Lepisosteus oculatus: one gene and its partner. The protein of the gene in region 2 interacts with the protein of the main gene of each other region in a pairwise test. Links are inferred from orthologs where the notes say so. Each region holds a gene or a part of one and is shown on either strand. Other genes may lie near its edges.

Region 1 (3,746 bases), on a different chromosome or scaffold from region 2:
GCCCCCCCGCAGGACGACACCTCGCCCGCCCCCCCGGCCCCCCCGGCCCCCCGCCCTCAGATGCTCAGCAGCCAGAAGAAGAAGAAGATGGCGACGAAGAGGAACAGGGAGTCCTGCCAGCTGTTGCCGTTGCCGGGGTTACCGTTGTCCGGGTAACCGCCGCCTGGGTGGGGAGTATCTGGGGGCGAGGAAGAGAACCCCCAAATCAGAACAGATTCCAGCTGGAGAGTCGCTATATAACCTCATGATACTGAGAGCACAACACACACACACTCCTGTACAGACACACACACTCCTGTAGAGACACACACACACACTCCTGTACAGACACACACACTCCTGTAGAGACACACACACACACTCCTGTACAGACTCTTACTGGACACACTGTAGAGACACACACACTCCTGTAGACTCTTATTGGACACACTGTATAGACACACACACACTCCTGTAGACTCTTACTGGACACACTGTATAGACACACACACTCCTGTACAGACTCTTACTGGACACACTGTATAGACACACACACACACTCCTGTACAGACTCTTATTGGACACACTGTATAGACACACACACACACTCCTGTACAGACTCTTATTGGACACACTGTATAGACACACACACACTCCTGTAGACTCTTACTGGACACACTGTATAGACACACACACTCCTGTACAGACTCTTACTGGACACACTGTATAGACACACACACACACTCCTGTACAGACTCTTATTGGACACACTGTATAGACACACACACACTCCTGTAGACTCTTACTGGACACACTGTATAGACACACACACACTCCTGTAGAGACACACTGTACCTGCGCGGTGAAACGGGTCATTGGTGTTGAAGACTGTAGTGAAGAAACCAAAGGGAAACGCACCAATACCGAAGGACATGTGGAACCCAGTGTCACCGAAACCCTGGAAGGGCTGAGAGAGAGAGAGGGGTTCATACACTCCAGTACATGAACACTGCACTGAGAGAGAGAGGGGTTCATACAGACACACTGACTGGACACTCCAGTACATGAACACTGCACTGAGAGAGAGAGAGGGGTTCATACAGACACACTGACTGGACACTCCAGTACATGAACACTGCACTGAGAGAGAGAGGGGTTCATACAGACACACTGACTGGACACTCCAGTACATGAACACTGCACTGAGAGAGAGAGGGGTTCATACAGACACACTGACTGGACACTCCAGTACATGAACACTGCACTGAGAGAGAGAGGGGTTCATACACACACACTGACTGGACACTCCAGTACATGAACACTGCACTGAGAGAGAGAGGGGTTCATACACACACCCTGACTGGACACTCCAGTACATGAACACTGCACTGAGAGAGAGAGGGGTTCATACAGACACACTGACTGGACACTCCAGTACATGAACACTGCACTGAGAGAGAGAGGGGTTCATACAGACACCCTGACTCAGTGACTCACCCCTCTGCTCTCCGGCTCTGGTCTCTGTCCCTGAGGTCGAGGAGGAGTTTTCAATCTATAAAAACACCAAGAAAGAGTTAATTCATGAAGCTGAGCAAAGATACCAACAACTGGAAAACAGGAAACCTCCTGAGTCTTTCAGAAGACCGGGTTTCGCAGTGCTCTGTGGTCCGACTGTTACCACTAGACAACGGGTCAGATGTAAAACCTGGAAAGGAAGGGACTGCTGTGCAGCTGGAGTCTATGAGCACTAAAAACCTGCCCCACTTCACTCAGACAGACACTGGCGCACAGTGGACACACAACGGACAGGACAGGACAGTACCGTGGGTCATCCTGACTTGAGCTCCCTCTTCCATACAGAGGAATAACGTTCTCCCGGCTGATCCCGGCCTTACACACTGGACACTGCTGTCTGCTGGGGCGGGTCTCCAACCACTGAGAGAGAGAGGGGTTAATACACTCCAGGACATGAACACTGACCTGAGAGAGAGAGAGACTGACTGGACACTCCAGGACATGAACACTGACCTGAGAGAGAGGGGTTCACACACACACACTGACTGGACACTCCAGGACATGAACACTGCACTGAGAGAGAGAGGGGTTCATACAGACACACTGACTGGACACTCCAGTACATGAACACTGTACTGGGAGAGAGACAAACTGACTGAAAGTTACATTAAACATACACCAAGGAAGAAATTAAAAAAACACTTACTTGGTGTAGACATGGCCAGCTGTTTCATGAAAGAAAGCAAAGAGATTTGCATTTAATTTCAGAAAGGTTACAAACAAGAAGTCACTATGCACATTAGACCCGTTTGGTGGGTCAGTAGCTAATTGATCAGAGGAATTCATCCAGCTGTTCCACTCCCCCACCCCCCTCTGTGTACAGAAGAGCCTCCTGTCCTGACTGGAGGAGCTCACCCAGCTGTGTCTGGAGAGAAGCCAGGGTATCGGCTTCAACCACAGGGCTGGGCAGCCTGTTCCCCACCCCCACCCCCCTCTGTGTACAGAAGAGCCTCCTGTCCTGACTGGAGGAGCTCACCCAGCTGTGTCTGGAGAGAAGCCAGGGTATCGGCTTCAACCACAGGGCTTGGCAGCCTGTTCCCCACCCCCACCCCCCTCTGTGTACACACACACACAGACAGTGTCGCTGCCTCTGAGCCCCGACCCCAGCTCGCACCAGAACAGATGTCCGCACAGGCTGATCACCGCGTCCCTGGCCGTGTCCAGGCAGATGTTACACTCGAAGGTGGCCCGGTCGCGCTCCGTGTCCCGGCCCAGCCCGCCTCCCGTCCCGCCCCGGTCGCCGTCCTCGGCCGGACCGCTGTCCGCCGTGCGCCTGGGCTCCGCCGCCATGTTTGTTTACCTGCCTGGCTCGCTCGCTCGCTCGCTCGCCTCCGGTCTCTTCCGGTTTCCGCCGGTGACACGCCGGGCCCGTAATTCACCGAGTAGAGGCGCCTCCCGGCTTGGCGTCGAGCATGAATGGGTCGCGATTCTTTCAGAAATGCGTTTATCCTGCGCTCTGTTTTTATCATATTCAGGTTCCCCACACTTGTGCTGTGCTTTAACCCTGCTCTCACTGGGCTGTACTGCGCTGTACTGTGTTTTTACCCTGCTCTCACTGGGCTGTACTGCGCTGTACTGTTTTTACCCTGCTCTCACTGGACTGTACTGCACTGTACTGTGTTTTTACCCCGTTCTTACTGTGCTTTACTGCACTGTACTGTGTTTTTACCCTGAGCTCACTGGGCTGTACTGCGCTGTACTGTGTTTTTACCCTGATCTCACTGGGCTGTACTGCGCTGTACTGTGTTTTTACCCTGCTCTCACTGGGCTGTACTGCACTGTACTGTGTTTTTACCCTGCTCTCACTGGACTGTACTGCACTGTACTGTGTTTTTACCCCGTTCTAACTGTGCTTTACTGCACTGTACTGTGTTTTTACCCTGATCTCACTGGGCTGTATTGCACTGTACTGTGTTTTTACCGTGATCTCACTGGGCTGTACTGCACTATACTGTGTTTTTACCCTGTTCTTACTGTGCTTTACTGCACTGTACTGTGTTTTTACCCTGTTCTTACTGGGCTTTACTGCGCTGTACTGTGCTTTTAACCCTGATCTCGCTGGGCTTTACTGCACTGTACTGTGTTTTTACCCTGATCCTACTGGGCTGTACTGCGCTGTACTGTGTTTTTTTGCCGTGAGAGAAGGAGAAACGTTGTCAGGTTTGTCAGAAACAAAAGACCCCAGTTCATCA
Region 2 (3,746 bases):
AAGATTTAGTTCTCTTCTGAAACGTGACAGTGGTGTGCTGTTGGGTGAAGTTCACAGCCACCCAGCCTAGCTTCATAACATCAAAGAGACAAACGTTGCAAAAGACTGAAATCTGACTGTAACAACCTTACAATTAAACAGCACAGTACACTAATTAGCATGACTGGCTCAAATTGCCAGTCAGCACTGAGGGGTAGAAAGGGTAGTTAACCAGGGAAAGATTCGGAAAACATGATTTCGGAGCCCGATTTCGGGATTTGTTCAAACTGAGAGGGTCTACACACTTGTCTTTGGGGAACAAATGTCGTGTACTTTTAATGTTCTGCAGTGCGGAATTTCATCTCTTCCTACTACACTAATAAAAGAAGAACAGACTGTCCGCAGAACGTCCACTGGTATCCTGGGACATCTCCTCTAACAAATGGCGGAACGGAGAAAAGCAGGAGTATGCTCAACGCCCCTTAACACAAGGAAACTTCGGCAGTCATACCTCTGTTGTCTCGAAGACCCTGCTTAAGTATAAAAGTGTTCAATATCACGAGCTAGCTCAAGTATTCCAAATGTGGGAAACGACAGGAATTCTTTCTCGGGTTGTTTTTTTCCCAATCTTGAAATCCCGAAGTGCCACATCTGGGACTTCAAATGTCTTCTGCCTGAACTGAGTCTTCCTGAGGTAGAACAGGAGACCCAGGCAACAACACTGACAGGACACGTGGTAGCACAATGGCACACCTTTAGCAAAGATGCTCAAAACATGGTATAATAGCTTAACACACGTCTCATTTCAACAGCACCATTCATACAGTATGTGGATAAGAATTTATGACACGTCTGCAGATTCATGTCTATCGAGGATTGTAGTCTGAATCTGAATTGGAGCAGACACACAAAAGCTGCAGAATTCTAGCTTCTTTTTAACTTTTCATTCTCAGTCCTGTACAATCATGACCTCGAGACTCAATAATACTGCATCATTTACACTGCATTTACTGCAGCAACTTCAATCAAGTACCTTTGCTCAAAGATACAACAGCATCCTTCCAGTCTTGAACCCAGAGCCCAGACCACTGCTCTGCATCGCTGCCTTATTAAACTTATTAATTGCTTAAGGATTCATTTTAGATTCTTACCGAGCAGGTTGAGGTGGAATCACTGACGTACAGTTTTACCTCGAGTCTAAAGAAATGCACTACCTTGCGGTGGCTCAGCTTTCATTTAGCTTTATTACAGAAGTACATTCAATCATAAAGCAAGACACTTTTAAAATGTCTATGATTTGTAGAATGGTGACTCTCAGATGCACCATAACTGAGGCGACAATGTTTCAGGCTGTAAAACAAATTATTCTCCAAACAGTGGCTGCTGACTTCAGACAATAAAAGATGGATATTGGATAGCTGGATTTCGATTCATAAGAAGATATTTTTTTACATGATACGGAAGCATATTCTGACATTGAAGTCTCAAAGCTCTTCTCTCCCTAACAAAAGGAGGACGCAAATCTTTATACGCACTGAAACAGCGGAGAAATAACCGGCGGTAATAAAACGGTAGTACGAAAAGGTTCAGGCTGATTAATAACGTGTTCAGGGTAGCACAATGATGCTGAGTGCCTGATCCGTACAGTGAGACAGGCCCCTTCTCTGTGCTCTACTTTCAATACGTCTGTATGCACTCAACACACATGGCGTTGTCGGCAGAGCTGCAGTTCAAAATGTGTGAATGAGAAAGGGATGACACCTCTGCAACAGCTGTTACAGTCTTTACGATCGTGCTTTCTCAACATTCAAACCCAATATCGATGAGCTTCGTAAAAAATCCCCGATAACCACAATAAAGGAACCAGCTTCTGTGTTTAGCTAAGGAAGCCGCTTCGCGATCGCTGGATTCGTCCGCTTTGTTACATAACTTTGTGGCAGTGAGGATGTGGGTTTGTCCAGAACCGGATCAGGATTGGAGATCACGATCGGGTAGTTAACTGGGACAGAAATGGAGCTCCCGTCTTAATGACAGCCACATTTTGAGTTCTGGTGCAGGACCACGCTCCCCTTTCACGCCAACCTGAATTTCTACAAAGTGATCCAGGACATCTTTTTTTCCCCCGAAACCGAGAGAGGAAGCATGTCACTTTGGCTTAGTTTACAAAATCCACTACCCCCGTCACACTGGAATTTTTATTTTTTTTAAAAAACCACTATACCGTATAAGCGAAAAGGCTTTCACAAACACAGGGAAGTCCAATCCCACTGACTGGGCTCTTATTTTTAATTTTACTCCCTGCACTCGGCCTAACCTCCTTCCTGATCCCCGGTATTTCCTGAACCCCTCCCCGGCCGTCTCCGTCAGCCCTAGGAGCTGCCCCCTCTGGACGGCCCCGGTCGGGATGACATTAACTTCCCCTTCCCGGGGCCTCGGTAGCCCTTTTTCAACTGTTAAATTACTCTCTATTTTTTTCTTATCTGAGTGTCGTGTACGTGGCTCAAGCGTTCAGAGAAGCAAGAATGGCTAACCTCTTCGCTTTTAAGGACCTCTTTGAACTCTCGTTTGATCCTCTGCACTGCGATGTTGGCCATGGCTTTGCCGTCTCCTCTCTGTCGCTGTTTGCTGATACAGGCCTACAGCTGCAGCGTCGCTCTGCTCCTCTTTTTTTTTTACAACAAAAACAGACACCCCCCCCCCCTACCCGCACACAAATGGCGATCCGCGGAGTCTGCGCACTGTGCCAAAAGAACAATATGTTACAAACTGGAATAAAACAACTTCCTTCAGGGATATGCTAGGTATTCTGAGATGTAATATGTGTCATGTTTTTACGGATTCCGAGGAGAGGAGCTCTGCTTAATGGCGTTTTCCCATTCCGGGGCTACACAGTCAAAGCTAGGCGTTTTATTATAATAATGTCACTACTCAACTGAAATAGGTGCTGGAGCATAACCTGCTTAGCTTATTTTTGTAATCGATTTGTTTTTTTCCTTCCAGGTGTGATGTTCGAGATAGGGCCCATCTTTTGCACATATTTAATTTTGTGCTTTTTATATTTGTATTTTATTTACATTTTATCTACGTTTCCACCCACTACATACACGAACATGAAATTCAGTGAACGATATTTTTGCCGAATGATTAACCGAGTGTGTGGCAATATGTACTACAAACGGAGGAACGCGGGACCATTTTAGTTGTAAAAAAGTGCTGTACGAAATGTTAATGTGACAAGTACAGAGGGGCCTATGAAAAGTCTCATTTGAAAGATTTCGATCTTTACAGCACCTTGCCCTCTCATCTAATAGGGAAGAGTGCCACCTACTGATGTACCAAAACAAGTTCTGTCAGCCATCTAATTTTCCTTTTACTGACGAGGCCAAGTCTTGCTTAGCTTCTGACATGTGACAAGATCCAGTTTTAAAGTGTCATAAAGCAAAAACATAATCAATGTGACTCATATTTGTCAGAACCGTGGTTCAATTAAGTACCTAAGAAGAGTTCCAATACTATAACTGAATAACGTTTATGACTGGATAAAAAAAAAACAGAAATACTGCTAACTACCTCAGACTTAATTCATGTCTCATTAGGTCTACATAGAACAATTCTAGATTGCTGTTTTTACCACTCCGAATAACCACTCCAAACTACTCCCCAAAACATCTCTCTGAAATCTAGGCCTCCAGGAAGTAACAATGGGCTAGAGATTAGTGGTGCAGCATATTCAGCAGTCCATCAGTGAAGCACTGACCTTTTGACCT

Evidence for each region. The genes of interacting proteins can lie anywhere in the genome.
Region 1: the proteins of ube2kb (region 2) and rnf5 interact in binary tests that used the Homo sapiens proteins (3 or more experiments, as listed by UniProt). The link is inferred for Lepisosteus oculatus from reciprocal best matches to the Homo sapiens genes UBE2K and RNF5.

What each region holds. Positions count from the first base shown.
Region 1 is NC_090709.1:39,110,895-39,114,640, forward strand, and holds the start of rnf5 (E3 ubiquitin-protein ligase RNF5), read right to left. Parts: upstream 2,849-3,746; 5' UTR 2,845-2,848; coding exon 2,669-2,844; intron 2,220-2,668; coding exon 2,201-2,219; intron 1,915-2,200; coding exon 1,802-1,914; intron 1,532-1,801; coding exon 1,477-1,531; intron 947-1,476; coding exon 835-946; intron 179-834; coding exon 57-178; 3' UTR 1-56. UniProt on the Homo sapiens protein: Membrane-bound E3 ubiquitin-protein ligase that mediates ubiquitination of target proteins. May function together with E2 ubiquitin-conjugating enzymes UBE2D1/UBCH5A and UBE2D2/UBC4.
Region 2 is NC_090696.1:68,332,006-68,335,751, forward strand, and holds the start of ube2kb (ubiquitin-conjugating enzyme E2Kb (UBC1 homolog, yeast)), read right to left. Parts: upstream 2,669-3,746; 5' UTR 2,574-2,668; coding exon 2,511-2,573; intron 1-2,510. UniProt on the Homo sapiens protein: Accepts ubiquitin from the E1 complex and catalyzes its covalent attachment to other proteins. In vitro, in the presence or in the absence of BRCA1-BARD1 E3 ubiquitin-protein ligase complex, catalyzes the synthesis of 'Lys-48'-linked polyubiquitin chains.